4 linked regions of the Arabidopsis thaliana genome follow. The protein of the gene in region 1 interacts with the protein of each later gene in a pairwise test. Each region holds a gene or a part of one and is shown in the gene's direction. Other genes may lie near its edges. The genes, in order: HHP1, AT3G45700, NAP5 and PIP1C.

What was found.
Region 2: the proteins of HHP1 (region 1) and AT3G45700 interact in a protein complementation assay, tested with the Arabidopsis thaliana proteins (one large-scale study listed by BioGRID).
Region 3: the proteins of HHP1 (region 1) and NAP5 interact in a protein complementation assay, tested with the Arabidopsis thaliana proteins (one large-scale study listed by BioGRID).
Region 4: the proteins of HHP1 (region 1) and PIP1C interact in a protein complementation assay, tested with the Arabidopsis thaliana proteins (one large-scale study listed by BioGRID).

Annotation. Positions count from the first base shown.
Region 1 is NC_003076.8:6,836,980-6,844,911, reverse strand, and holds HHP1 (heptahelical transmembrane protein1), read left to right. Parts: upstream 1-1,965; 5' UTR 1,966-2,255; coding exon 2,256-2,557; intron 2,558-2,638; coding exon 2,639-2,714; intron 2,715-3,266; coding exon 3,267-3,887; 3' UTR 3,888-4,079; downstream 4,080-7,932. Other genes in the region: AT5G20260 (Exostosin family protein), read left to right, coding at 5,356-5,586, 5,674-5,825, 7,012-7,366, 7,444-7,932. UniProt on the Arabidopsis thaliana protein: May act as a negative regulator of abscisic acid (ABA)-mediated osmotic stress signaling and function in cross-talk between cold and osmotic signaling.
Region 2 is NC_003074.8:16,775,153-16,783,365, forward strand, and holds AT3G45700 (Major facilitator superfamily protein), read left to right. Parts: upstream 1-3,560; 5' UTR 3,561-3,612; coding exon 3,613-3,694; intron 3,695-3,776; coding exon 3,777-3,994; intron 3,995-4,496; coding exon 4,497-5,038; intron 5,039-5,111; coding exon 5,112-5,916; 3' UTR 5,917-6,116; downstream 6,117-8,213. Other genes in the region: AT3G45690 (Major facilitator superfamily protein), read left to right, coding at 1,116-1,203, 1,296-1,513, 1,586-2,124, 2,198-2,651, 2,747-2,998; AT3G45710 (Major facilitator superfamily protein), read left to right, coding at 7,567-7,663, 7,737-7,954, 8,030-8,213. UniProt on the Arabidopsis thaliana protein: Transporter involved in a passive nitrate efflux.
Region 3 is NC_003070.9:26,882,253-26,889,123, reverse strand, and holds NAP5 (non-intrinsic ABC protein 5), read left to right. Parts: upstream 1-3,954; coding exon 3,955-4,185; intron 4,186-4,281; coding exon 4,282-4,368; intron 4,369-4,453; coding exon 4,454-5,110; downstream 5,111-6,871. Other genes in the region: AT1G71350 (eukaryotic translation initiation factor SUI1 family protein), read left to right, coding at 1-383, 478-599; GDPD4 (PLC-like phosphodiesterases superfamily protein), read left to right, coding at 1,803-2,069, 2,156-2,253, 2,358-2,418, 2,509-2,589, 2,691-2,783, 3,030-3,119, 3,193-3,320, 3,400-3,568; AT1G71320 (F-box family protein), read right to left, coding at 5,306-5,937, 6,051-6,287, 6,330-6,639.
Region 4 is NC_003070.9:223,120-230,462, reverse strand, and holds PIP1C (plasma membrane intrinsic protein 1C), read left to right. Parts: upstream 1-2,919; 5' UTR 2,920-3,286; coding exon 3,287-3,614; intron 3,615-3,771; coding exon 3,772-4,067; intron 4,068-4,151; coding exon 4,152-4,292; intron 4,293-4,381; coding exon 4,382-4,477; 3' UTR 4,478-4,798; downstream 4,799-7,343. Other genes in the region: AT1G01630 (Sec14p-like phosphatidylinositol transfer family protein), read right to left, coding at 4-114, 529-634, 739-1,034, 1,120-1,257; GPAT4 (glycerol-3-phosphate acyltransferase 4), read left to right, coding at 6,208-6,518, 6,597-6,912. UniProt on the Arabidopsis thaliana protein: Water channel required to facilitate the transport of water across cell membrane. Its function is impaired by Hg(2+).

The DNA of each region.
Region 1 (7,932 bases):
GTTTGGTTTGTTTTATTACTTCGTCGTACATAAGCTGCCGGAAATACCTAACTCTTCATATGGTTGTCTCTTTGACACCTACCGGATTTTACTTCATTTATGCAAAGTATTGTAATAATAAAAAGAAAAAGAGGATATTCCCGGTATTTTAATTAACAGAACAACATTCATATAAATAAAACCATTCCTTTTGATTTTAATTAGGCCTAGGCGACAAAATATATAATTAAGGCTAAATAGATTGCAAACACATGGCAGTTATATCCAAAAGTAAAGATTACAAAAGATGTCGAGAAGATAAAGTCATTTTCTTCTTCAACCATATTTAACAAAATCTTAAGTTATGAATTAGTAATAAACTATTTTCCCAAGAAACTTAAACACACGTATATGGAGTTTGCGTATATGATTGCGATTCCTTGGGGGTGTTTCAGGAGTGACCTCTTTGGTTAATGTTTTCCCAAAAAGCCTAAGCCAACCCAAATCTTGAAAGACCAGAAAGCTACAACTATGGCCATTTTATCAGCTTTAATTTTAGATAACAAAACTGAATTTTGTAAGAGAAAAAATAAAGGTATGGCTATGGGACGCCGAGATGTTAATTACTATCTACATAATAACAACATATTTTTTTTTTTGAATTTAGTGTTAAATTATATTCAAAGAAAAATAAACTGTTTATATACAGAAATGCAAACTTTTCTTAAAAATAGATCAAAAGTATATCTTATTTATCTTTGATTTTGTTCTTGCCTAAAAGTAAACCACACTTGGATTCCTCTTGCGTACTTCTCTTCACATCTTACCCTCAACGTGCTTAATCCATTCCTTATGTTTTTGTCTATCAGCCTGATTATCTTCTTCGTCCTCGATGGCGTCTGTCCATATCTCCTCTCATTTCTTTCTCTCCATATAGAATGTATCGTGTTTTGAAACACATACCGAAGTACAAACCTTGTAGTGGCGTCAAGATCTTTACTCACTAACTCCTTCATAATAACAGCATAATAACATGTATTACATGAATGCATGTCACAAACGTTTATAATTCCCTTTTTTTTTGCCAACAAAACGTTTATAATTCCTTGTATGAAGATATTTTCGTCTAATTTTTAACATCCTTTTTTAGTTGATTTCCAAATAAATTATAAATTTGTTCTAAAGTTTAGTCATCTGCCTAATTAATTAACTTGAAGTTCTATATTGCTAGAGGCATTTAAAGGTCAAGTCCTTTTCAAGTGGTAACTCATTGAAAATGACACTAATGTTTTTTGCAACATTTCACAAGAAAAAAATAGAAATTTTCATGATTTTGGCTTTTGTGGTCTACTCTTTTAAAAAAAGGAATCCTTGAAATGTTTGCATGCTTGTTTTTAGTATCATTATTTTTGTTGTCATCCACTTGATGGAAAGAGCTTTGACACTTCTTTACCACAATCACTTCATAACTCATAACTACATTAAATTCTGTTGTTATCCTAACTTCTTCTGTTAAAAAAATTACTTAGAATTACACATAAGAACTCAAAAATGCAAATTTTCTAAAATTACTCGTCTATTTCAAGTAAAGTAAACCCCTCACCAATCTTAATTTCACACAGAATTTAATGTTGATTGAAGCATAGTAAAAGTCTAAATGAGTCCTTATTTTTTATTTTTACATCAAGAGTACTATTTTGTTTGCATCACATATCTTATATCTTTCTTATAAATACAAACGATCCGGTGGGTACAAGGCATCAATCATGTAAAAGAGGTACAAGCCGGTAGTGAATTTTGAGTCGGTCGGTCTTAAAATCGCCTAAATTTACTCTTCTCGTATTCAAAAGATTTTCCATATCTCAAAAAGTAGTGTAAAACTGAATCACTTTTCTTGTTAAAAAAAAATACAATAAAAACAAACGTAAGAGAAAGGGAAATGAAATAATAATAATCAAAAAAGAAGAATTTATTGATAACCTAACTAACAACTAAAAGATGAAAACACGACACCAACTTCTACCTGCATACTAAAGTTTCGTCTTTAAATGTTGCAGCTGTCTCCTTACATTTCACATCTTCCTTGTTTCTTCTCTCTCTCTCTCTCCCCTCAAACTTAAATTCACATTTTAATACTTGTTACTTCAACTATAATAATAATAATAATCTTTCTTCATTATATATTTTCCTCTCCTCTCAGATCTTCTCTCTCACCATCTTCTCTTGAGATCAAGATTGAGTATTCTTGTCTCAAGAATCGATACTCGAGAGCTCTTATGGACCAAAATGGTCATAACGACGAAGCAGAAACAGTTTCATGCGGCAACGGCAACTGCAAAAGCAAGATCGTGCCTGGAGATGATCACGGTGGAGATGAGAGTAGTGGTACCAAGAGAAGGAAGAAGAGAAAAACGCAACAAAAGACAATGAAACGACGTGAATTAATGTCGTATTGTGAGCTACCGGAGTACATGAAAGACAACGAATACATATTGAATTATTACAGAGCTGATTGGTCCATTAGAGATGCTTTCTTCAGCGTATTTAGTTTCCACAATGAGTCCCTCAATGTTTGGACGTAAGTACACCAAATTTTACTTCTAGTTTCAATTATTTTTTCTTCGATTTTTTTTTCTAATAGTTTTTTTTTTTTGGACAGACATTTGATTGGTTTTATCTTCTTTGTGGCACTAACCGTCGCCAATATTATTCATCACGACGGATTCTTCCCCGTGGTAAGTGTCCTTTAATCAACACGTTTATTTTTGTTTTTGTTTAATAATCGCAAGTTTAGCCCGAATTTCAATTTATTCCCTCGAGATCCACATGCAACCACTATATTAACTTCAAATTAGTCAAGTGAATGTGTCAAGTAATTAGATATATACCTAATTGGTTTTGATTAACTTATCTTAATTTTCTAATGAATTGTTCGTTGCTATACCTGGATTTTGTTATGATGATTTTGAATAAGATATCAAAGATATATAGACATGAATCGAAATGATGAATAAAATCTTTGACAATATTACATTGACTATAATTTGTTTTCTGTAGTATATTCTAAACAACTCAATAAAATGTAATTCTTTTAAGGATTATATATCAGCTCAAATCTATTATTTAATCACATATCTAAACAACTGAAGAAAATGTATTTCTTAACTAGATTAGAAATCAACTCAAATATGTTATTTGATCATATATCTAGTATATGTTTTTTTAGTATCTCAAACTAGTCAATAAAAATGTAAAGCTAATGGTGGTATCAATGTTGATGATTGTAGGATGCAAAGAGTCCAGGGAATGTAACAAGATGGCCCTTCTTCGTTTTCTTAGGAGGCTCAATGTTCTGCCTACTCGCAAGCAGCATTTGTCACCTCTTCTGTTGCCACTCAAAAGAGCTTAATGTCTTCCTTCTCCGAATAGACTATGCCGGTATCACCGCCATGATCATCACTTCCTTCTTCCCACCAATCTTCTACATCTTCCAGTGCACTCCTCGGTGGTACTTCATCTACCTCGCAGGCATCACATCCATGGGAATCTTCACAATCATCACACTTTTCACCCCATCACTTTCCGCTCCCAAGTACCGAGCTTTCCGCGCTTTGCTCTTTGCCTCCATGGGGCTGTTTGGGATTGTCCCAGCTGCCCACGCGCTAGTGGTCAATTGGGGAAACCCGCAAAGGAACGTGACGCTCGTGTACGAGTTGCTTATGGCAGTGTTCTATCTTGTTGGAACAGGATTCTACGTAGGGAGAGTGCCAGAAAGGCTTAAACCGGGATGGTTTGATCGTGTGGGACATAGTCATCAGATCTTCCATGTGTTCGTTTTGTTGGGTGCTTTGTCTCACTATGCAGCTGCTCTCTTGTTCTTGGACTGGCGTGACCACGTTGGTTGTTAAACCATATATTTGTAATTCTTTTAAATATAATATTATTAATTTGTTGTATCGTGGTGAACAAAATTGTAATAACCCATTTGTTTTAAATTGAATTGTAATTCAACTTGTGTTAATTGTTATGTTTGTTGAATATGCATGATTTTCAGAAGTCTTTTTCTCTATGAGAAGTTAATGGTAAATCAAATATTTGCCACTGAATAGTTTCGTTTTTGAATATGATGACTTCAATTGTTTGTTTGCTTTATATCATGAAAGCAAACAGAATTGAAAAGACATAAAAAAAAATTGATGTAAACACAAAAGCAAAAATTGACGGTTGAAACAACCAATGATTTGTTTTATAAAAAAAAAAAAAAACCAATGATGCAAAGGATGGACTTCATGCATGGTTGATGGTTCTTTCATCTATCTACATGCGCACTTAGCTTAGTGTCAGGATTCCCTAACCACAAGAGAATTAATATGTATATATGCACCATCAAATGTTCATCAAAGTCTCCGCTTCCTTTTTCATTCTTCATAGCCGAGTCCTCTTATTATTGCTTCAAAGTTTTTTTGTTCTTTTTGATTTGATATAAATATATGTGTTACTAGGTTATACAGGTGTTAATTAGATGCAAGACAAGGATTGATCAGACATAAACATAATTAAAGACCAAGCTTCACTCTGTAACTAGACTCTTGATCGATAATGCGTGAACGGACCCAAACTCTTTTCGAATTTCGGAAGCCAAATGTCTTGGTCTTGCCGTGAGACTTGGTGTATATTTTCATATATCTTTTTTTTTTTTTCCTTTTGATGTATGAAACTTTTTTTATGTGTGGTTAATGAGTAAAACAAAGAATCGAACACCATCACCATTAGTTTAAGGTTGATGTGTGAAACATAGCGTACGTGAAACAGTTCTTCTAATTAACCCAATTTGATGTTATTGTTAAATTATCTTCAAGAGTGACAAATATACGACCAAACATGTCAGCTAAAGCTTTATAATGCCGGTTATGCTTAACCACCCCAAATTTGATTTGCCTGCCTCAGACCGGTTATAGCAGTACGGGAAGAACCGGTTTGATAATGGGTATAAAAGTTTTTCGTTTTTCTTCTTGCAACCAAACCCAAAATTGACCCTAAAATTAAGCATGCCATGATAGCTAGCTAGTAACGATCGACGGTGCCAAACCCCGAACGATATGAAGATTTACTTCTGATTCGGTAAACATTTTTATAAAGCAATAAATACAAAATTAATGTTATTTGCTTCTCAATTACTCTATTAGTCTTCCGTTTCCTTCCCTAATAGGATTTATTTTGGTCCATTTCTGCTTTAATTTTTTACCTTTCTAGTGATTTTATTTGGTAGACTTTTAGCTGGTTTGGATTCTCTACTATAATAGACTCTTATATTCCTCTACTACATAAGTATATACCCTAAATGTGTCACTGCCCAAGAAACTAGAGAAAAAAAATATGGAACAATCAAATTTTGTTAATATGAAACTCTCTCTAGTTCCAACTCTTCTTCTTCTTCTTGTTCTTCTCGTCTTTTATCAACATCACTCTTCTCCAAACCTAAACTCGAACGCTCTCTCTTCTTTCGTCGACGCTACGTCCCTCGCCCCATCTCCTTCACCGTCCCTGTCTATGGAGTTTAGTGTCGCCTCATCAAACCTTTCAACAATTTCGAGTCCTCCTGAAAATGTATGTTTTTATTAATTTACGTGATTTTGTTCATTTATGCTATAGATTTGTTTTGACTTTTGAATATATATAATTTGTTGTAATAAGAAAGGAAATAAGAGGAACATAATTGAGGAAGGTTTAGCAAAATCAAGATCCGCCATACGTGAAGCCGTGAGGTTGAAGAAGTTTGTATCGGACAAAGAAGAAACCTTTGTTCCTCGAGGAGCCGTTTACAGAAACGCTTTTGCATTTCATCAGTAAGTTTCTGTTTCCTTTTTTTCTTCGTTTCTCCTTTTTTTTTTGTCTTTCAAATTTTCATTTAAAGTTACTTTCCATACTAGGAAATAAATGTAATACTAAGATTTTATTGGGGGAAAAAAACTAGTCAATATGAAAATTATTAAGTATACAACTACATTTTATGCTAATGATATGACAATTTTCATTTAAGTTACCCATAATTTTCTCCCCAGATCATTTGGATTTCAAAGAAGAGAAATTCAAAATTTACCTCAAAAGTGTAACCGACATTCGACAATGATTTTTAAGCAAAATACATTTATTGTTTACATGAATAAATTATTTTCGAAATCCTTTTTATTCCCTTCATTTGGAGTATGTATAAATTCGGTTTTCTTGAATTATTTACTCGTTTGCTATGGGAAACGAAGCGATTGAGTATAATTCTAATCCTTCCTCGTTCCTTAGTTCTCTGCGTCTCGTTAAACTCAAGATTGAACTATTTAAGTATTCATTTTCACTTTGTTATATGGTTTATATTATAACTATTTAAGTGTCCATGCTCTTATACTTGTTTTTACTTCAATACATTGTATTGCTTATATTACACACAACCAAGCGTGTGTATAGTAAATACCAAAATAAATCTTTCTCCCAAATCTTAAAGCAAATTGTACCTCTCTTAAAGAATTGCGTAAACTTTATAATATTCAGAAAAGTATGTAAATTTTTTATATAGTCAACGTGTCTTAATTAAGGGACTATACTATATATGCACAATGGTATGCGGGTAGAGAAACGTAGCGCCTACTTAAAGCCCTGCTTTGGTAATTGTAGTCACAGCTCTATGTTATCTTCACATTACAACCTTAGTTTAGTTATTAGAGTAAAAAAAAAAAAAAAAATGTTTAGTTGTATTGTACTACTTTTTATTGACTTCAAAATCATCATTTCTTTGCTTGTTGCAAAATTGAATTGCTGCTCCCAGTTATTTTATTAAAAGAGAATTAAATTACTCTAAATACATAGTAAGAAATTACCTAACCGTATTCAAAAACTGTCTTGTGAGTTGTGATTAGTCTATCACAAATTCGTAGACAAACTTTAAATAAACAAAAATTGTAGCTAGGAACAAATGTACTTCACTGTGTTTATGAATTATGATCGAGTAGTAACAACACTTTTTCTTATGAAATTGAGCAGAAGCCATATAGAGATGGAGAAGAAATTCAAAGTGTGGGTGTACAGAGAAGGAGAGACACCGTTAGTTCACATGGGTCCAATGAACAACATATACAGCATTGAAGGCCAATTCATGGACGAGATCGAGACAGGGATGAGCCCGTTCGCGGCTAACAACCCCGAAGAGGCTCATGCCTTTCTCCTCCCTGTCAGCGTCGCCAACATCGTTCATTACCTATACCGGCCGCTCGTGACCTACTCGAGGGAACAACTTCACAAAGTTTTTCTTGACTACGTCGATGTTGTGGCTCACAAGTATCCTTATTGGAACAGAAGCCTTGGAGCCGACCATTTCTACGTTTCTTGCCATGATTGGGTTTGTTTTCTTTCTGGAACCAGACTTATTTTTGTGATGTTGCTACTGAAATGTAACATTTTTAAAGACTCTTGCAGGCACCAGACGTCTCAGGATCGAACCCGGAGCTGATGAAAAACCTGATAAGAGTTCTCTGCAACGCCAACACATCAGAAGGTTTCATGCCCCAACGAGACGTCTCAATCCCGGAGATCAACATCCCCGGAGGCCACCTGGGACCACCTCGGTTATCGCGCTCTTCGGGCCATGACCGACCCATCCTTGCTTTCTTCGCAGGGGGTTCACACGGTTATATCCGCAGAATTCTATTGCAGCATTGGAAAGACAAAGATGAGGAGGTCCAAGTCCACGAGTACTTAGCCAAAAACAAAGACTACTTCAAGCTCATGGCTACGGCAAGGTTCTGTCTCTGTCCTAGTGGCTACGAAGTGGCTAGCCCTCGAGTCGTTGCAGCCATTAACTTAGGTTGCGTCCCTGTCATCATCTCTGATCACTACGCCTTGCCTTTCTCAGACGTTCTTGATTGGACTAAGTTCACCATTCATGTTCCTTCTAAGAAGATCCCT
Region 2 (8,213 bases), on another chromosome or scaffold:
TAGTATAGCTACAAATTATTGTTTTATATTTTGACTACATATTATTTTAAAAAAATATATGAGTCAAATTTTGCAATGAATACATAGATCATTTTTCAGGAAAGAAATTTATTTATTCTTAATGTTGAAATATGTTTTTGTGAAAGCTAGTAATTTCGATCTTTATATATATTTAGGATAAAAGTTTGACTCTTATACCTTTATTACCATACCAATATAATAAGTAGCTTAAATTTTCAATTATGAGCTAAATCTCAGTCAAATATCTGATATAATTTCTTAGTCAATTTGTAATAGTCAAATTTCTAAACATAAGTGTTATAAATATTGACCAATTTACATGCAATTTAATATTTACTACATGAAATCTTAGTATAGTAGTCCTCTGGGAAGAAGTCATTTCTGAAGCACTTTGATGCGTTTCTACTTTCTATCGAGACTAACTGTAGGGTTTATAAAAAAAAAAATACATATATATTTAGAAAATAATGCAAAGAATGAGTATCTATCTATGAGGTAACTGCATGCTAGCGTGGTCGCTTATGTTACACCCCTAATGAACGATTTCGAATCGTTGGATCTTTATATCTGCTAGATGATTTTAGTTTTATTAGTGTGTCGTTTCTAAATTATGTTAATGATCTAAACACTATTAATGTGTTGTTTCTAAATTAAATTTGAGTTTTAATTATTATTTTATGCTTATCCTTAAATGATTTTTAACATAATTAAATTCAATTTAAATGAATTTTATACACATTAAATAGTTGGACACATGTTAATAAGTTAATCTTTTATTTGCTCTCACATAATAAGATGTCAAATCCTTAAAGAACTCCCTTCATCTTTTATATAATGGGCAGATTTGGACAGATTTCTCAGTTATGGAACTTTAATTGTGTAATTAAGAGAGATCCTTGTTTAATAAATGAGAGTGCCAAGTAGTTCAAAAAGGTAAGAGAAAAACTAAACTTTTAAACATATAATTATAACAACATTTAGTGTAAATCTTAATAACAAGTTTACCAAACAAGATCATTAACAAATCATTGCACAACATAATTATTCCGTACTTGCTTATATTTAGTGTTCCTCTGCTTCATCTGTTCTCTGTCATGGCTCGTTCAGTCGACACAGAAGCAATGACCACTCGCGATCCAAGCAGCAAGCGCGGTGGCTGGAAAACGTTTCCATTCATGATCGGTTAGTGTATTTTATGACTGTTTTGGTTTATGTTTTTGAGCACACAACATAGACAACTGATAGTGATTATTGTAAGGCTCTATATGGTGCAGCTACATTGTTAGGACTTTCCATAGCTTCATTCGGATGGGTGATGAACTTGGTCGTCTTCCTAATTAAAGAATTCAACATCAAGAGCATCGCTGCTACGCAGAATTCTAATATTGTTAATGGATGTGTGAGCATGTTGCCTGTTGTTGCAGCCATTCTAGCTGATTCTTTTTTCGGAAACATTCCCGTCATCTCCGTCTCTGCCTTCATTTCTTTGCTTGTAAGTCTGAGACTTAAATATTCTATTGTCTTGTGTGACTCACAAAGCTTACTAGTTGTTAAACGTTTCCAGGGCATCATTCTATTGACCATGATTACATCTTTGGACCACTTGAGACCTCCACCGTGTGAAACAGGGTCAATTCTATGCGAATCGCCATCAAAACTCCAGCTCGGGATCTTGTATATAGCCTTAGCTCTAGTGATCATTGGATCAGCTGGTACGCGGTTTACCTTAGCATCCGCGGGTGCAAACCAATATGAGAAACCTAAAGAACAAGGAAGCTTTTTCAACTGGTACTTCCTCACACTCTACACTGGAGCTATTACTGGTGCAACAGCAATTGTATATACACAGGAAAATGCTAGCTGGAAACTTGGGTTCGGTCTTTGCGCCGTCGCTAATTTGATCAGTTTCATAGTTTTCGTCTCTGGCAAGAGATACTACAAGCATGACAAACCAATGGGAAGTCCCTTCACAAATCTGATCCGCGTTGTAGTCGCTGCTACAAGAAAAAGGAAAGCTGTGATTTCATCTAGAGAAGAAGACTATCACCATGGGCTTGGAAGAGAAGGCAAGACATCTTCTGCAATGCCCTCCAAGAGCTTTAGGTGAAAAAACAAAAAAAACTTGCTTCATTCATCAAACTTAAAACAGAACTTAAAAGAGCTTTTACATGTGCAGGTTCTTTAACCGTGCAGCATTGAAAACCGAAGATGACTCAGTTAATAACAACTGGAGGCTATGTTCTGTTCAAGAAGTAGAAGATTTTAAAGCCGTTTTCCGAGTTCTCCCTCTGTTACTAGCCATCATCTTCGTTAGTACTCCCATGGTGACGCAAACAAGCTTGATTATATTACAAGCTCTAGTCACAGACCGCGGTCTCGGGCCTCACTTCAAAATCCCGGCCGGGTCCCTCCAAGTCATAGTAATCATCACTGCATGTATTGTTATCTTAATGAACAATTGCCTTGTCTATCCCATGTACCAGAAGCTAGCCCATAAGCCATTGACACCGCTTCAAAAAGTCGGTATAGGCCACGTTTTCATCATTTTAAGCATGGCGATATCCGCCATTGTGGAAGCAAAGAGGCTGAAAACAGTTACTAATGGCCATTCCATGTCAGTGCTATGGCTGGTTCCTCCCCTTGTGATAGTAGGAATAGGAGAAACGTTCCAATTTCCGGCGAATATTGAATTATTCTATAGAGAATTCCCCGAGTCTCTGAGTAGCACCGCGACTTCATTGCCTCAGTGGTGATTGGAATATCTTTCTACCTGAGCACAGCTCTGATCACTCTGATCCAGAAGACCACCAAGTGGTTACCAAATGATATTAACCATGGAAGAGTTGACAATGTTTACTGGCTTTTAGTCATTGTAGGAGTCTTGAACTATTTCCTTGTCTGCGCTTGGTTTTACAGATATAGAAACCTGAATGATGATGATGATCAGGAACAAGATCCAAAAGACGATACAACCTAAGACACAACGTGTTCTGTTCTTGTGGTTTTTGTTGTTTTGATCATCTTGAAAGACCCTTTTTTATGACAATAATCAGACAACAAAAACTCTTTCAACAACTACATAACCACTCTCACTATCTTGCTTAATTCTAACAGAGTTTGAAATGTGAGAAACGTGGTTTGGTTTTTTTTTTTGTTGGAGAAAAAGGAAATCATTTCTGTATTTCCTGATTCATAATTAATAATTTTAAGGTCTTATCATACAAAAGTGACTCAATGATTGGTCGAGAGTATATTAAATTTTAATAAAATTTATTTAAAGTTCTTGAATCTTTGTCTATTTATACTTTTCTTATGCTTGTGGAGTGGTTTACTGCTACTGAAGATAAGGCAAGATATGGGCGATTGCTTTTTAGTTGTTTATTACATTCACCAACCTGATATTGGCAAACGACACTAGGAGATGAACTGTCAGAATCTGATATGAAATTTTTGCCACCAAAAAAGATCACTACCAACATATAATAATTGATATGGATTTGCTTATATATATAGGTTACGGTTGTTATCTAAACTGCATTATAACACTCAAACACAAGTCAAAGTACCTCCTGCTTCCACTTGTTCTCTGCCATGGCTAATTCAGACTCTGGTGACAAAGAAGCGCATCGCTCTAGCAAGCATGGTGGCTGGATCACTTTACCGTTCATGCTCGGTTTGTGTTTTTGACTCTTTTGTTTATGTGAACTCAAAACATAAACAGATGTTGATGATTGTAAAGTTTTTATGTGGTGCAGTTACATTGTTAGGCATGTCGATAACTTATTTTGGATGGGTAATGAACTTGATCGTCTTCTTGATCGAGGAATTCAACATCAAGAGCATCGCAGCTGTTCAGATTTCAAATATTGTCAATGGAGTTGTCAACATGTTGCCTGTTGTCGCAGCCATCCTAGCCGATTCCTTTTTTGGGAACATTCCTGTCATCTCAGCCTCCGCTTTCATTTCTCTAACTGTAAGTTTTAACACTCACCAATTCTTTTATGTGTTATGAGTGTTTTAAAAACGGTATCGGCAGTTACTAGGCAACCGTTTTGACCGCCTAAAATTACACAGACCTAGTTTAAGGCGCTCAGACAATGCCTAAACAACTGTTTCGACCGCCTAAAATGTATATACGCCTAGTTTTAGTGCATTTTCTAATTTTCAAGTAGGTTTTATCTCTATATACATAGTTACAATCGTTCATATATTGTTTTGATGTACATTAAAGAAATGTTTTGTCTATACTTTGTTTACGATATTCTATTTTTATTTTTCTAATATGTATTTTATATAATGTTTTAAGTATAAGCTCATATTTCTAATGTTTTATGTAATAAATGTCTAAACTGGCTAAACTGCCTAAGGTTATCCGACTAAGCGTTTTAGGTGCTAGACACTAGGTCACCGCATGCCTAATGCTTTCTTAAACAACTTCTGATATAAAAGCTTACCTGTTTTGAAACATTTTTCAGGGAATATCGCTCTTGACTCTTATTGCATCTTTGGACTATTTGAGACCTAGACCGTGTGAAACGGGATCAATTTTATGCCAATCACCATCAAAACTACAACTTGGGATCTTGTATGCAGCCTTAGCTCTAGTGATCACTGGAACAGCTGGGACGCGGTTCATCTTGGCATCCGCAGGTGCAAACCAATATAAGAAACCTAAAGAACAAGGAAGGTTCTTCAACTGGTACTTTTTCACACTATATGGTGGAGCGATTACTGGCACGACAGCAATTGTATATGCACAGGACAATGCTAGCTGGAAGCTTGGATTCGGTCTCTGCGTCGCTGCTAACTTGATCAGTTTCATCATTTTCGTCGCTGGGAAGAGACTCTACGAGCATGACCAACCTTTGGGAAGTCCTTATACAAGTCTAGTTCGCGTTTTAGTCGCTGCTACAATGAAACGAAAGGCTGTGATTTCATACAAAGACGAAGACTATCATCACCGCGAGCTCGAAAAAGAGACCAAGACTTATGTTGCAATGCCCTCCAAGAGCTTCAGGTGAAAACAAAAAGCTTTCCTGATTCATGGAACTTAAAAAGAGAGCTAATAAAGAGGGATTTTTATTATGCAGGTTCTTGAACCGTGCAGCATTGAAGACAGAAGGAGACTCAAATAATAACATGTGGAGGCTATGCTCTGTTCAGGAAGTAGAAGATTTCAAAGCCGTTCTCCGACTTGTCCCTCTCTGGACATCTGTCATGTTCCTCAGCGCTCCCCTAGCGGTGCAAATGAGCATGACTGTCCTCCAAGCTATGGTCATGGACCGTAAACTTGGCCCACACTTCAAAGTCTCTGCTGGGTCTATGCAAGTCATAGCACTCGTCTCTGGATGCGTCTTTATCATACTTAACAACTGGACTACCTATCCCATGTATCAGAAGCTAATCCGCAAACCGCTGACACCGCTACAAAAAGTCGGGATCGGCCACGTTTTGACAATCTTAAGCATGGCGATATCAGCCGTTGTTGAAGCAAAGAGGCTGAAAACAGTTGAAAATAGCCATCTCATGTCAGTGCTATGGCTGGTTCCTGCTCTCGTGATTAATGGAATAGGTGAGGCCTTTCATTTTCCAGCAAATATTGCAATATTCTATGGAGAATTCCCTGAGTCTCTAAGGAACACAGCGACTTCATTGACCTCGGTGGTGATGGGAATCTCTTTCTATCTGAGCACAGCTCTTATCGATGTGATCCAGAGGACCACCAAGTGGTTACCAAATGACATAAACCACGGAAGGGTTGACAATGTTTACTTGGTATTAGTCATTATAGGAGTCTCTAATTTCGGCTACTTCCTTGTCTGCTCTTGGTTTTACAAATACAGAAACCTCAAGAATGATGATCATGAACAAGATCTTAAAGATGTTACAAACTAGGACACTAACGTGTTCTGTCCTCGTTTTCTCTATATTGTAGTTGTGTCTTCATGCAACTAACTTATGTGCTACATGCAAACTCACTGTTTGCCGTTTGTGTTTACTTTTACCAATAAATGTTATTTGTATCAAACTCATACCTCAAATTATTAGTATCCTAGCTCCAATGGACCGATTAGAGCTCATGAGCTGTTAGCTAGCTTTTTTAAGGATTCTTCACCTCCTTTATATTAACCAAAAAAAACATGCAATGTCAATTCCTACTTAAATTACATAATAAACTAAAGCTATAATTATAATCCAAACCGATATATAATCTCGTTTAATTACAAAATCTAAACCCTAATTCTTCTTTGTAAACCCAAACCGCCATTTAAACTCATCTAATCGTAAAAAAACTAAATCCTAATCGTAATTTCTAAACCTAAACCGACATTTAACCTCGTTTAATTGTAAAATCTAAATCTGTTTATAAACCTAAACCAATATTTAACCCGTTTAATCATAAAACTAAACCCTAATCGTACTTTCTAAACCCAAACCTTTTGAAATAAACTCAAACCGACATTTAACCTCGTTTAACCCTAGGGGTGAACCCAAGTATTTTTCATCATTAATCAACATAACTAAAAGGGCCAAGAGATAATTAGTATTGTACTTAATCTTAATCATCTAACATAGATATTCCACATTGGTTGTGTGAACAAAATCTAACAACATATATACACCAACATACGGCAAATGGTTTGTCCCGTCGAGGACATCTGATAAGATTGGAACGATACAAAGAAGATCTGCAAGGATCACACTCACAAATCAAGAAATGGTCCAAATTGTTTTGCTCTTTTTTGTTTCTAGAAAAAGAAAGTGTGTCATTTACAATCTTGAAAGATTCAAGCAAAATCAATTAATACAAACGATGGTTTGGAGAAAACTTAACACCATAAATCACTTTGAATTTTGTATGTCTTATAAGAAAGATGTAAGATTTGGCTTGAGAATATATAAACAATATAATTAGAGATATCTTGGGAAGCAAGGCGTTTATCTTGCGAACCAAATATAGGGTACTATGAAATGAAGCCCGTGAAACCCGAGAGAAGAAAATCTTAATATATGACAGCGTTGGTAGCATGGTCTCGTGATTTGTTGTTTGACATGAATATTTGGCTTCAGAAGATTTGACTTTTGGGAACGAAAACAGAGTTTCAAACGTGAGAATGGTGCTTAGATTTTTTTTAAAACATTTTTTGGGCAATAAGAAAAATATTTATGCATCTGCTGATACAAACGATTTTGACACAATATTCGATCGTGCGTTTTTTATTTCTTTATTAACATTATTCAAAGTTTCTTTTTAGAATATTTTTCTGATGATTATGAATACTACGTACTATTGAAGATTTGGTCAAATAATTTTATTGTTTTCTATAACTGTCACCAACGGTAGATGGACTGTCAGAATCTGATTAGGTCTTTTTGGGACCAAACAAGATTAGTACCAAATCACTGCACCTACATAATAATTGTTATGGATTTGCTTATATATATAGTTTCAAGTCTTTTATCTAACTCCATTATAACACACAAACACAAGTCAACTTTGCATTATAACTCCATTTGCCCTCCTGGTTCATCTTGTTCTCTACCATGGCTGATTCAAAATCTGGTGACACGGAAGTAGCGCATCGCTCTAGCGATCCAAGCGAAAAGCGTGGTGGCTGGATCACTTTACCGTTCATGCTAGGTTTGTTTTTTGTTTTTTTTTGAAACCAAAACATATATAGATGTTGATACTGGTGAGGTTTTATGTTGTGCAGTTACATTATTAGGCATGTCCATAACTTCTTTCGGATGGGGAATGAACTTGATCGTCTTCTTGATCGAGGAATTCCACATCAAGAACATCGCTGCTGCTCAGATTTCAAATGTTGTCAATGGAGTTGTCAACATGTTACCTGTTGTTGCAGCCATCCTAGCTGATTCCTTTTTTGGGAACATTCCCGTCATCTCCACCTCCACTTTCATTTCTCTGGCTGTAAGTTAAACACTCACTAATTCTATTCTATGTTCTGATATACAAAGCTTACCAGCTTTAAAACCATTTTTTCAGGGAACCTCTCTCTTGACCTTAATCACATCTTTGAACTACTTGATGCCTAGACCGTGTGAAACGGGGTCAATTCTATGCCAGTCGCCATCAAAACTACAGCTTGGGATCTTGTATGTAGCCTTAGCTCTAGTGATCATTGGATCAGCTGGGACGCGGTTCACCTTGGCAGCCGCGGGTGCGAACC
Region 3 (6,871 bases), on another chromosome or scaffold:
TGTGTTCAAATACATTGAGAAGGAAAATCTAGTAAAGCCAACAAACAAATCAATGGTGGTGTTGGATCCGATACTATGTGATGCATTGTTCAAAGGAGCTATCAAAAAGGGATCGGCATATCCGTCAGAGATCCACAAAAAGGATGTTGGGTCGACATTTGTAGGTAGAATGCAGCCTAATCACGTAGTGATGAGAGGAGGCGGTGAACCCGTGGTTCGTAAAGGAGCTGTAAAGCCGGTTCAGATAATGACAGAACGAAGACAAGGTAACAAAAAAGTGACCAAGGTCACAGGGATGGAGACGTTCTTGATAGACCCAGACTCGTTTGGATCAGAACTGCAGAAGAAGTTTGCTTGCAGTACTTCAGTTGGAGAACTTCCAGGTACGTTTAAAATCTATCCTTTTTGTTTTGTTCAGCTGTGTAAGTGAATTAACTATTTGAGAGATGATTGATTGTTTTGTGTGTTTGCTTTCAGGTAAGAAAGGGTACGAGGTTCTGATTCAAGGAGGTGTGATTGATAACCTTGCGAGATATATGGTGGAACACTATGGAGTTCCAAAGAGATACATCGAAGTTCTTGATAAGACTAGAAAGTGAATGGTTTTTTCTATTTCATTTTTTTTTTGTGTGTTTTAATCTTCTAATTTTATTTGATACGTACACTCTGTGACTCTAGAGATGTGGAACAAATGAGAATAAAATTGTTTTGTTATTAGTTTTTTTTTTAATATAACAAAAAAATTAAAGAAAATAATTTATAGTTTGATGGACTTTCTCTCTTTTGTGCAGTTGAGAAAATAAAAGGACTTTCTCTCTCTTCTCTCTCTAGATCTTTTAGAGAGAGGAAGTTTCTGATGCTCAAACTTGGCTCCGACAATAGCCAGCTTTTTTAGTGGTGTTGGTTGGCTTCCTTCTGGCGTCGTTAGCTCCTTTAGCAACGTCGGCTAGCTTTTCTCCGACATCGGTGGTTTCTTTAGCACCGTTGGTCGGCTTCGTTCTTCAAATTTAGTTTTTGCCTTTCAACCTTGTTCGATTCTATTTTGCTTCGGTTTTAATTGGTTTTGATTTCTCTTTCTCTTCATTTCGATCTAAATTTGTAATTTTTCGATCCTCCCTTCTTTAAGGGGCTTAATTTGTTCTTCAAGCTTATTGAGTTTTCATTTTAAAAGATCAAATTTTTAGTTACGGATTGAAGTTTAATTTAGTGTCTTTTGTTTGATTTTGATGAAATTAGAGCTGTTGTTTGTCTTTCTTGTTGCCGATGCTTGTTGAATCGTTTGGGTTTATGTTGTTTTTCCTTTAAATGGCAGAAGTCGAAGTCGATAGTTTGTGAGCTATTTCTTTCTTGAAGGTTTTAAATTTTACAGTCATTGTCACAGAAGATTTGTCAATTGTCTCATCGGATTTGTAGCTGCTTCCGATTTGGCGTTTACAGCAATTCCGGTGAACTTAAGTTTTTTGTGGTTATGATTCTCCACCTGCGACATTCTGCAACTCATCATTTTCTGTTTCCACGTGTCCTCTTTACCGTGTCTCTAGTGCCATGTGGGCTTTGACTTATTAGCACATTAGCTTTCTCTTCTTCAGAAGGTGGTCTTTGGGCTTTTGTCCGTTTATGGCCTGTTATATGGCTTTGTAAAATATGGCTTGTTAAAAGGCTTTGTAATATAAATAATAAAACAGTTGTGACAAAAAAAAAAAAATATATAGTTTGATGGTGATTGGTGAACTTCTTTTTTTTCCAAGATTGCAGTAAACGTCGTCTTTAGCTCCAAAAACAACCTTTGTCTTGTTCAGCTAATGGCGATTTTTGAATGGCGGCACAGAAGACGGCCATTCGACGGCGGAGGAACTCGTCGCCGTCGTTTCTTCAGCCCATTGTATTCGAGAAATTTCAAGAGAACGATTCTCTTCGCTGTGATTTTCTTAGCTATCTTCCCTCCTCTCTACTTCCATTTCAAGCTCCGACGAATTCGTCAGATTGTCGCGCAAAAGTGCGATTGGCTTCACCATCCTCCACTTGTCTGTGCTCACGGCGGCGATTCCACCCTCGCTTTCCCAAACACTGTACGTACACTCTCGATCTCTTCTTCTTCACACTCTTGCTACTAACCTTTTTAAACCTTAATCTCTTGGACTCTTCTCAATCGTAGATGGACGCTTACAGTTTCGCTATACGTTCTCGAGTTGATTGCATTGAAGTCGATGTTTCTCGTTCCTCCGATGGTGTTTTATTCGCTCTTCACAACAGGTTACAGACTCTGATCCTTGTTGTATCATCTTCTTCTAATGTTTCTGTGTTTGGATTCTCATCGGTGTTCTTCTTATTCATCTTCTGATCACACGCACAGTCAGGGATCTGCAGCGTATTGCTCGTAACTCTTCTGTTCAAGTTGGAGATCTGAGTATGAAACAGGTCTCATCTCTCCCTCTCTCTCTTTACCAGCTTTTGGGATATGCTTTTTTGCATCCATTTTTCATAAACCTTTTGATGATCTTTTTGCAGATCAAGGAACTCGATGTCTCGGAGATTGTTAAAGGAACCTTGGGAAGTAGTAGGATTCCTACTCTTGAAGAGGCTTTAGCGGTAATGCCTGTTTTTTTAATTACTATCTTGTCATTGCTTTGCTTTGTAATTTCTGCTTAGTAACAAGTGGCTGAAGCTAGTTTTGATCTTGAATCATCTAGTTGATATCGAATTCAGTCCGGAAAGTGATCCTTGATGCCAAAGTTGGACCGCCAATGTATGAAAAGGGGTTAGCACAAGACATCCTTTCTATTGTAAGTACTATGTTTTTGTTAGCTCTTGTACTTGTAAAGCTTTAGTACAATGTGCTCGAGATTTATAAACATGTTTTGATTCCTTAATAGCGTTGCTTAATCATTTATTTCCTGGTATCTTTGTACACAAAGCTAGAACAGCTTACTATAGATACTTGAAAAAACAAGAGTATGGATAAATTGTTGATGTTTCAATGGTGGTATTTCTGGCTTTGCTCACATGAATCGCCAATCCTCTGTTGTTAGATTGAGAGAGCGCAGTGCAATAATTGCATCGTATGGGCCAAAAGCGACACTTTGGCTAGGGACATAATTAGACGAGCACCAGATACTATGGTAAACAGAAATGGATTGTCTTGTGAGGATCAGATAGAGAAGTTTCTTGCTCATTTCCTAGTGATTTTGGCAGGTGGGATACATTGTGATGGTAGATCCTTTGACTGGGGCGAGAAACAGCCTGCTGAGAATGAAGGGAGCTAGGGTTGTGGGAGTTTATCATCCCTTGATCGATGAAGAATTAGTTAGAGTTGTCCGTCGGTAAGCAATCGATTTCAATGTTTTCAAATAAAAACACACCTGCTCATGTGTTTACAACCTTGCTCGATCTGATCAACAGGAGAAACAAAGAGGTGTATGCATGGACTGTGGATGATGCTGATCCCATGAAAAGGATGCTTCACTTAGGTGTGGATGCTGTTGTGACGAGCGATCCATCTATGTTTCAGGGTCTCATGGAAGATCTTAGAACTGAGTGTCTTGAAGAAGGTTTTTCAATACGGACGTGAGAATTTCTTTTTCGAGCATTCTTAATGACTGTAATACCAACTCAGAAGTTTTTGGCAAAGATCTTTCTTTATGTTGTTTTGCTGATCCACAAGTTTTTGACAACTACACACTACGACGCCTTGATACACAGTAAGACGAGTCTTTCTCAAGAAAAGCAAAGTATGGCCGGTTCTTGATGAAGCCATTGCTTCTATCGATACAGCTACTGATAATCTGATCCAGGAGACTCTGAGGCAACACTTTTCGGACTGCACAGTGAAAACAATCTCACACAGATATCTTCTTTTATACATAACGATATGAGCCTGCTCCTAGAACAAGGTCTAATACACTTGTATTTAAGTTTAAATAATCAGATGACTGATATTAAGTCTGTTTATATAATATGGATAGAGAACGATATGATAAGGTGATTGAAGCATGTTCTTTGAGTAAAGATCTGGAGATACTTTCATTCGGTGATCAGACCGTCATTGGAGAACGCGGCATCAATTTGAGTGGTGGACAAAAGCAAAGAATACATATTGCACGCGCTCTCTACCAAGATGCGGACATCTATCTGTTTGATGATCCTTTTAGTGCTGTCGATGCACACACAGGGTCACATCTCTTTAAGGTACAATCTTCTTACTTAGCCATTAGTGTGATTGTGATTTCTCCTTCCGTAAACAATCATGTATCAAATTTATTTTCATTCTCATACTTTTTTCAGGAAGCTCTACGAGGGCTTTTATGTTCTAAATCGGTTATATATGTAACCCATCAAGTTGAGTTCTTACCTTCTGCTGATCTTACACTGGTATGTGAATAGTTCACTGTCTTTTATCATTTTCTACAGCACTGAGAATATGAAATCATCCATAACCGATTTTCTTATGCCTCAGGTCATGAAAGATGGGAGAATCAGCCAAGCTGGAAAATATAATGATATCCTCATCTCTGGAACAGATTTCAGGGAGCTTATAGGTGCGCATCAAGAGTCTCTGGCAGTAGTTGGGTCGGCTGATGCCAGTTCTGTTTCTGAAAACTCAGCTTTAGACGAAGAAAATGGTGTTGTGAGAGATGATATTGGTTTCGACGGGAAACAAGAAAGTCAAGATCTGAAGAACGATAAATTAGATTCTGGGGAGCCCCAAAGACAATTTGTTCAAGAGGAAGAGAGGGCGAAAGGTAGCGTCGCTTTGGATGTATACTGGAAATATATCACACTGGCATACGGAGGAGCTCTTGTGCCTTTCATATTGTTGGGGCAAATTCTCTTTCAGCTTCTACAGATTGGAAGTAACTACTGGATGGCTTGGGCTACTCCTATTTCTGAGGATGTGCAAGCTCCTGTGAAACTTTCTACGTTAATGGTTGTGTATGTTGCTTTGGCATTTGGAAGTTCCCTCTGCATTCTTGTTAGAGCCACGCTTCTTGTCACGGCTGGTTACAAGACTGCTACTGAACTGTTTCATAAAATGCATCACTGCATTTTCCGTTCTCCAATGTCTTTTAAAATTGCAAAAACTTGTTCAAAAACTTGTATATATTCATCATAACTATATCCAAATATGTATTATATTGACAGAAAGAAAGAAAACAAGAGAAAATAAAACATAAAAATAATCCATAATGTCAAATAAAGAAATTACAATATACTTAAAATAAATAAATATCTAAACATCTTTTTTTTAAAAATATTCTTTTTAACTTACATATAATATTGTTAAAAATTGAAAGTATAATTAACAACATCAAAGCATCAAATTTGAAGGAGAAATCATTGTTGGCAAATACGAAATCGTTCTTTGTCTAAAAAAAGAAACTTGATCTTGACGATTTCTGATATTTGAAAAATAGGCAGCCGCTAGACCAAGCATCCAAAACTTTTCATGTAATTGGTTGGTTCTTATAACGTCAATCTTAATAGAATATATTTTCTCCCATTTTTCGGTAGGATATTCTTGGTGTAAACTCCAAACGACCAAATTTGAACTTTCTAGCACATCCGATAGGCACAAACGTTCATTCAGATTCCACATTTCTATATTAGTAGCATATTTGGTGTCACACTCTGGTAATAATATCCATCGAAATTCTTCAGTGTGAAGATCGATAGCTAATAGCTGGTAAGATGTTTGACTAAGCTTCTTTAATGTCAACCAAAAGAGGGATCCGTTGGCGTAGACTGATGTTTGCTCATCGCAGAAGATACAATGATGTATGTCATAAAACCCTACGTCTCTTTGCTCACCATTATCAAGGGATAGGACCTTGGCCTTGAACTCATGATCATGTATTTCATATCTTGTATATATCAAAACCACCTTATAAGATTTTTTAACAATATCTTTGCCAAATCCAGCAAGAGACGGCATTCTCTTCACTAATCCACCTTGACGAAAAATTTTTTTTTGATAAATAGGTATATAACATATTACTATGTGAAAGTTAAAATTCAACTCTATAATCAACCATAGAACAAGAAAGTTGACAAACCAGATATGTCATAATCCAATACTGATTGAGAAAGTTGTCTCCATGGTTTATTGGCCATTGCGGGGGTTAAGTAACTAAGAGTAAATGGCCATTGCATAAATTCGGGAGAAAGTTTCATGTGTTCTTTAGTCGTCGGATTGATCAAGTAAATGGACCTGAAATCGTCATGGATCCGAAGCAAGACCAATCCATCACAAGACCCCAATACTTGAATAGTTTTATTTTGAGATTCGTCGACTGGATCACCAGAAAAAGTGTAGTAACTAGAAGAAGAAAGACAAGTTTTTCTGTTGTTTTGATCATCTCTAGAAAAAGTCTCCAAAAGAAAAGTTATTGAGTTTGAATATTCTTCAACAAAATTCGCTGTAAAGTGTTGACTAATATGAAGAAATTTCATATTAGGGGTTGGTAAGCCTGTACGAATGAGTCGTTTGTGGGAAAAGTAGGTTGATTCGATCATCGATGTCCATTTTTTTGATAAGACTTTGAATCTAGCCAGTGATTTTATTGGAAGATGGTGAAAGATCCCTTCAGCTATATCATCTGGTATAAATATTGTCTTGGGATTATTATGTTTATCATTCTCCATTCTTTTCCTACGATGATGATTCTTGGAGTAGATTTGTGTATCTCTATATATAAAGAAAATAATGATCTAATGTTGGATTTTTAACTTTAGATTTAACATTAACTGTGGCGAAAAATATATAACACTATTAATTTATATTAGAATAATAAAGAGCAAATAAATAAACATGTATTTGTTTATGCTATAAATAATAAATGTTGATTAATATATGTTTATATTATTCCTAAAAATA
Region 4 (7,343 bases), on another chromosome or scaffold:
TACCTTTTTCTTGGTGTTGGCGTCGATAAAAGGATAAATGACCTTCCATGCGGTCATGAAAATGTAGGGGGCATGAACTATATAGAGTTTCCCTAATCTCTCTGGGTAACAATCCTGTAAAACAAGGTTTTCTTAATGTGGGGGTTACTCACTGTCAGGACTCACGACCATGAACAATATTACTAACGCAATATTTTGCTAAAAATAGGATTACAATCATGAAAGTTCCTTTTCAAAAAAAATCCATAAACAAAGAGAAACAAAAAAAAAGAAGCCAAGTGTGGCCAAAAGGACCAAAATAACAAAAAGACCTTTAACCTGATCACCTACTCCAAAATAACAAAAACACCTTTTAAAACATAGTAAATAGTACTGACGAACAAAAGGTTTCTTAGTTGGAAGTCAAACTGAATTCTCTATATTTGGAGTTAAGTGGATTATTAGCAATATTTTCCTTTATTAGTGATAATTGCTAAAAACCTAAATGTTTGTTTCAAAAGATATGATAGGCGAATTAAAGGAAGTAACCTGCAAAGTGGAAAGAGCAGCAAGGTAGCCACGGATGTCACAATTAGAATATCCCCAGCCTTGCAGATCTCCAATTGCTACGAATTTCTCTTGACCTCTCGGCATTCTAACATGACAACATTCAAACAAACAAAAAAAGAGCATTAGCATAAATGGTTTCTTATATACCCACACTAACTTAATGTATGTAGTAATATTATTATTATTCACCTAGCACAAATCTTCTCGAGCGTGTAGACAACAAAACGCTTGAACTCGTCAGGGTTGCCTTTGGAAGGGTTATGTCTGTTCCCAATGGCAACAGCGATAGGTCGACCCATCTTGTCATGACCTTGCATACACATCTTGTTATGCGATAGATCATTTGCAATCTCTGCTTCTGGTATGTGCCCCTTTGGGAGCATGCTTCTCTTCCAAGTCAGGTAATTTAGAAACATCGTTGAAGCCTTTTCAATGTCCAGGTCACGCGCTCTCAGAAACCTCCTTATCATCAGATCATCCACCTCCTGCAAATCCAAATCATTAGGGCTTTTATCAAATCAATACTTTTCTGGTTGAATTCTTTTTTTACTTAAAGAAATCGATAGGGACCTTAGTTTCAGGATCTTGTCGGTCGCAGAGAGCTCTCATGATCCCGACTTTGCTCCTCTCGATCTCATCTTCGATCAACGGAACGGTCTTTTGCTCAGCTGCTGCTGCTGGTTCTTGCTTGGTCTCTTTGTTTTCCATTACGTTTCTCCTGTGAGCGACGACCAGATCTTGAAATTGGTAGAGAGAAGAAAGAAGTAGGATCGATCATAAATGAAGACAGCTGCTGAGAGAAAGATTTTAAGTGTCATTCAATGCAAAGTTGGGCTGCTTTCCCCTTCAATGGCGACGCTCACCAACTACTCTCTTCCTTACAAAAATTCTACTCATTTATTGACTAATCCCAGGTCCCCGACTCTACAGGAAGAAGACGATTATATCGTATTGGGCCTTATTAGAGCCTATTGGGCTCGAGTTGATTTGTCGTAAAGACTTGGTCTGTGGTTTAATCAATCTCTCATGCCTCAAAGTGTTGACTGATTCAGAGGCCGTTTTAGTGTTTTGAGCCCACGTCAGAAGCTTGTCTGTCGTCTGTGTGTATAAAACAAAATTCAATTCACGATTTTTTAAAATATTGATCGTATCTTTTTCCACATGTATGTAAGCAATGAAGGATCTGCTTCGTTGCAAAATATTAGTTTTTCTTTTGATAGGCATGTACCAACTAAGTACCAGCTACGTACACAGACAAAGTCAGTAACAATTAAAATTCATCAACCTAGTCATTGCTTGTTCATCAATCAACCTAATCATTTGTTTGCTTGTTAAATAACAATGCCAACGTTATTATTTCTATTTCTATACTATCATACATTCATACGGTCCACGCCTCTAACAAAAAAAGATATTGATAAAATTTAAAAGATAGATAATTCGATGAAATGAATTATAATGAAATGTGATTTGTACAACTGAGAAAGGATGTCATATACGGACTTTGGTCGGGACCGCCCCAGTAAACACCACCAACACATATTTGCCTCTTCAACCACGTGTCGTGATTCTGTTGGTTGGGCAGCTAGACGACTGTGATGTGTGTGTGTGGGTTGCGTTTCGAAAAATGGCAAACCCCACCACTAGTTCAATAAAAGGTGTTTCTTAATCATATAGTTTAGCTTCGGATTATTTGTTTCCCTTTTCAGTTTTTTAAAAATCGATATCTACAATAGAGTTAATCTGTTTATAAATTCAATTATTGTTCGGGTAAGACAACATCAACAAAACTAATAGGGTTTGAATCCTAAACACTAAACTCCATTTAACTAGTAAAGTATGGCTCATATAGCGTTAAAAATATGTGAATTGATAACAACAACAGAGTTTTGAATTTTATTTTTGTTAGGTTTGAATAGATTGATAGAAAAAGGAAAGTGGGAATAGGGAAACGAACATGTGATCACAGAAAAGCAAAATCCATTTCTGAGCTGGAAACCCCCGCAAAATTGAACCTTATCTCCAATTTTCATTTTCTTTTTTTCTAAAATATATATCGTTTAATTGAAAAACCTCAAATTCACAATCATTGTGATTATTTTGTCACTAGTAGTACACATAGTAATTTAATTAAACATTTTAAAAATACTCTAGGCCCGGCACAATGTTCGAGACTATGTTACTTTACATAAAGCAATCGCTTTCCACACACTTCTTTTCCTTTTCTTCTCCAACGGTCGGAAGTAAATTATTAATTCGTCGACTAGTCAAAAAGTTAGTCCTTTGTGAGTTTTCTGGCACTGTAATATTTTTTTTTACATTTCTAACTGCTGACTGAGTAGTACTCCTGTAGCAAGGCATTTGAGAATAAATTAGGTCAAACATGCTATCTTTATAAGGAGTTTCAGAATATAATACTAATAGTTAGCCAACGCAACAGAATTAGTATAAGCGTGGGTTGTGTTACATGATTAAACATCATCAAGTAGTAGGCTATTACAATTATTAACGTAAATAAATATGCTTTTACGAAGATCATCGTTATCCATGATTCCCTGTATTTCTCATTATTTAAATATATCATAATAGTTTCGAGACGTTAGTTTTTTTTGCTTTTTCTATTCTCTCTCTCTCTCGCCTCTATAAAACCATTCTTTCTCTATCTCAGCCACTCTCATTACCCATTGTAGAAAAGAAGAAAAAAAGCAAAGAACACTTGAACGTTTTCTAGATAGAGATGGAAGGGAAAGAAGAGGATGTTCGAGTGGGAGCTAACAAGTTCCCGGAGAGGCAACCGATAGGTACATCGGCTCAGACGGACAAAGACTACAAGGAGCCACCACCAGCTCCATTTTTCGAGCCAGGCGAGCTGAGTTCGTGGTCCTTCTACAGAGCCGGAATCGCCGAGTTCATAGCCACCTTCCTGTTTCTATACATAACAGTATTGACAGTGATGGGAGTGAAGAGAGCACCAAACATGTGTGCCTCTGTTGGAATCCAAGGCATTGCTTGGGCTTTCGGTGGCATGATCTTTGCCCTTGTCTACTGTACTGCTGGAATCTCTGGTAACCCCATTTTTTTTATCTTCTTAATACAAGTAGAATTGGTCTTTTGTTGCATGCTTCAAACCCTTGTAGCTCTGCTTTTAGTTTTCGATTTTTCTCAAAGAGATCTTAATTTAGAGTTGATTCTGATGAGTGTGTGTGTGTGTGTGTTTCACAGGTGGGCACATAAACCCAGCGGTGACATTTGGTCTGTTCTTGGCTCGTAAGCTGTCATTGACGAGAGCTGTCTTTTACATCGTGATGCAATGTCTCGGAGCCATCTGCGGCGCCGGAGTTGTCAAAGGCTTCCAGCCAAATCCTTACCAAACTCTCGGCGGAGGAGCCAACACAGTCGCTCACGGCTACACTAAGGGCTCTGGTTTGGGTGCTGAGATAATCGGAACCTTCGTCCTTGTCTACACGGTCTTCTCCGCCACTGACGCCAAGAGAAGCGCTCGTGACTCCCACGTTCCGGTATAATTTTGTTTTGATTCCTCTTAATTTATTGTTTTGGGTGTTTAGAAAAAGATTCATAATTTAGGGTTATTTTTTTTGCAGATTTTGGCACCACTCCCAATCGGATTCGCTGTGTTCTTGGTTCACTTGGCGACGATTCCAATCACCGGAACAGGAATTAACCCAGCTAGGAGTCTTGGAGCTGCAATCATCTACAACAAGGACCACGCTTGGGACGACCACGTGAGTACCCCATTACATCATTTGGTTGATTTGTCTTTCTATATGTCTTTGTCACTTTGGTTTGATTGTGGTTTGATTGTGGTTTGCAGTGGATATTCTGGGTCGGACCATTCATTGGAGCAGCTCTTGCGGCTCTTTACCACCAACTTGTCATCAGAGCCATTCCATTCAAGTCCAGATCCTGATTTGATTTCTTTCTTTATAAAACTTCATTGTTGCATCTTGGTTTGTAATTGAGCTTGAAAATATTTGAGAGATCTGGATCATGTGTTTATTTTAATTAATGGACTTGTCTTTTTCTTATTTGCTGTGGATGATCTGGTTTTATCGTTAAATGGAGTTTGATATTATGATTGATTTGGTACGATTTTAATTTTGCTTTTGTCGTTAGACTCGAGAAATTTTCAAGAGGAATTTGTTAATTTGATTTTCTTCTGGTTTGGTTCGGTACAAATTGAGTAAGATCCATATTGTTTCGGCTTGGTTTCTCGGGTCATCGACTCAACTAGTTTACGTGGTATTTAGCCCATATTTACATTGGGCCTCTTGCGCACTCTTTATGGGCCACGTTAACCAAGTGGGTATTAAGCCCATTTACATTGGGCCTTTTTCGCACTCTTTATGGATACAACTAGTATCCCATAATATGTCCATCAACGGCATCACTCCACCTTAATTTGTTGCGATAGATAGCCAACCAAGTTGAGATAAAACATTCTTACTTATTCTACAATAACCTCGTCAAAGTGGATTACCTACCCACTGCTTCACACCTTTTTTTTTTTTTAGTTTTTACTTTTCAGTTTCATATCTTCAAAGTGAATGTTTATGATAAGTTTGTTATCTTCTTGGAAATAAATTCTATTTCATAATTTTCATTGTACATAATTGCATGCATATTTTGGTAATTTATCTCAAACACACATATATGTATACACGCATAAGTCACTTTTCTTTGTAAGCTAAGGTTCACGTGATGCAGTTTCAATTTCCATAGCGTGTAAGTAGTTATTATACTCATACTAGGGGAATACTGTTACACTCATATCCGTAAGTATGAATGCATATGGCTCAATGGCTCTCCAACTCCCAACTATTTTACCGTTTTATTAATATACCATTGACATTTGAGTGACCATCCATGATACGCGGACAAAGAAAAAGAAAACCGTCTTAATCCCTTAATTATTATAAATTAAGGAGTTAATTATTTAAACCTAGTATAAAGTCAATTAACTCAATTAGCATTATAACTCTGTCGACGGCTCCTTGATACGTAAATATTGCAATCAAAATTAAATGCTACCAATATATAAAAGTCATTTTCATATAATTAACTTGGTCAGGCGGCCGTCGACTTTAATGTTTCACGTATAGTTGGATACTATATAGTATATACACACAATGCCAACCCACATATTATAAATTTATAATAACTCACCCAATTAATTATACAGCCTTCCATTTAGGTGAACTACTAAACTACTTTCTTTCATGTCAATCAACAAAAAGAAAGTAACTGAACCGCGTGTGACCAAAATTATATTTATGTATACACCAAATTCCATCATCTAATAAATACCCTAATCAAATAATCACTCATATTAACTTAAATATATTAGAAAAAAATAAGTGTCAATTGAAACCTTTGTTACGAATCATGTGATGTGAACATTTAATTTCTCATGGAGATAAAGAAATAAGAAGGGTTAATTTTGTAAAGATTGAAAGTTTAAGGATAATTTCGTAAATAGTTAATATTAATTGGACTGAAAAGTTATTTAGTCAGTTGAGCGATAAACAACCACTGGAAGGCGCATTTAAAACCCCAAGGACCTTCCCTCTCTTTCTTTCCAAATCTCTCTTTATCTCTCTTTCTCTGTTTACTAAATCGCCAGTATTCGCCGCAAGAAAGATGTCTCCGGCGAAGAAGAGCCGAAGTTTTCCTCCGATAAGCGAGTGTAAAAGCAGAGAGTATGATTCGATCGCTGCGGATCTCGACGGGACTCTGCTTCTGTCAAGAAGCTCTTTCCCTTACTTCATGCTGGTGGCCATTGAAGCAGGTAGTCTCTTCCGTGGATTGATCCTTCTTCTTTCTCTTCCCATCGTCATCATCGCTTATCTCTTCGTCTCCGAATCTCTCGGAATCCAAATCCTTATCTTCATCTCCTTCGCCGGTATCAAGATCAAGAACATCGAACTCGTCTCTCGCGCCGTTCTTACACGGTAACCACAATCACCGGATCTTTATTCTTTTCGATTTTGGAACCCTTTCGATTTTTAATCTTCGTTTTCAAATGTTAGGTTTTACGCGGCGGATGTGAGGAAAGATAGTTTTGAGGTGTTTGATAAATGTAAGAAGAGGAAAGTAGTGGTGACTGCGAATCCGATAGTGATGGTTGAGCCATTCGTCAAAGACTATTTGGGAGGAGATAAAGTTTTGGGAACAGAGATTGAAGTTAACCCCAAAACGATGAAAGCTACTGGTTTTGTGAAAAAGCCTGGTGTTCTTGTTGGTGATCTCAAGAGATTAGCCATCTTGAAAGAGTTCGGCGATGACTCACCGGATCTTGGCCTCGGTGACCGCACCTCCGATCACGATTTCATGTCCATTTGCAAGGTTTCTCTATCTCTCTCCTCTCTCGTTTCATTTTGCATATCCAGTTTACGTTGCTTAAACCTGATTTAGGTGGTAATTAATTAAAGAACTAACTACTTAAATGCGGTGTGGAGAGGATTCACATGATCTATGGGATACACATGATTTCATAAAAATCTAGAATAATGTTTTAGGATGATAAAATCCATAGTTTCAAAACACATACACGTATAAGTGAATTTAAGTAGAGGAAAGTAATCACTGAGAGTGACAAAAAGTAGATAACAGAATAGAATAATAGTTTTCATAAATGCTTCCAACCTATCACCAACTACCATCACCACATAAGTTGGACGGTCCATTTAATGAATGATCCGATATGTCAATGTTTGAAAGTTCAATAGTATTTTACAACATTTCTTACCATAATAATCGTGAATTTCAGAATGATT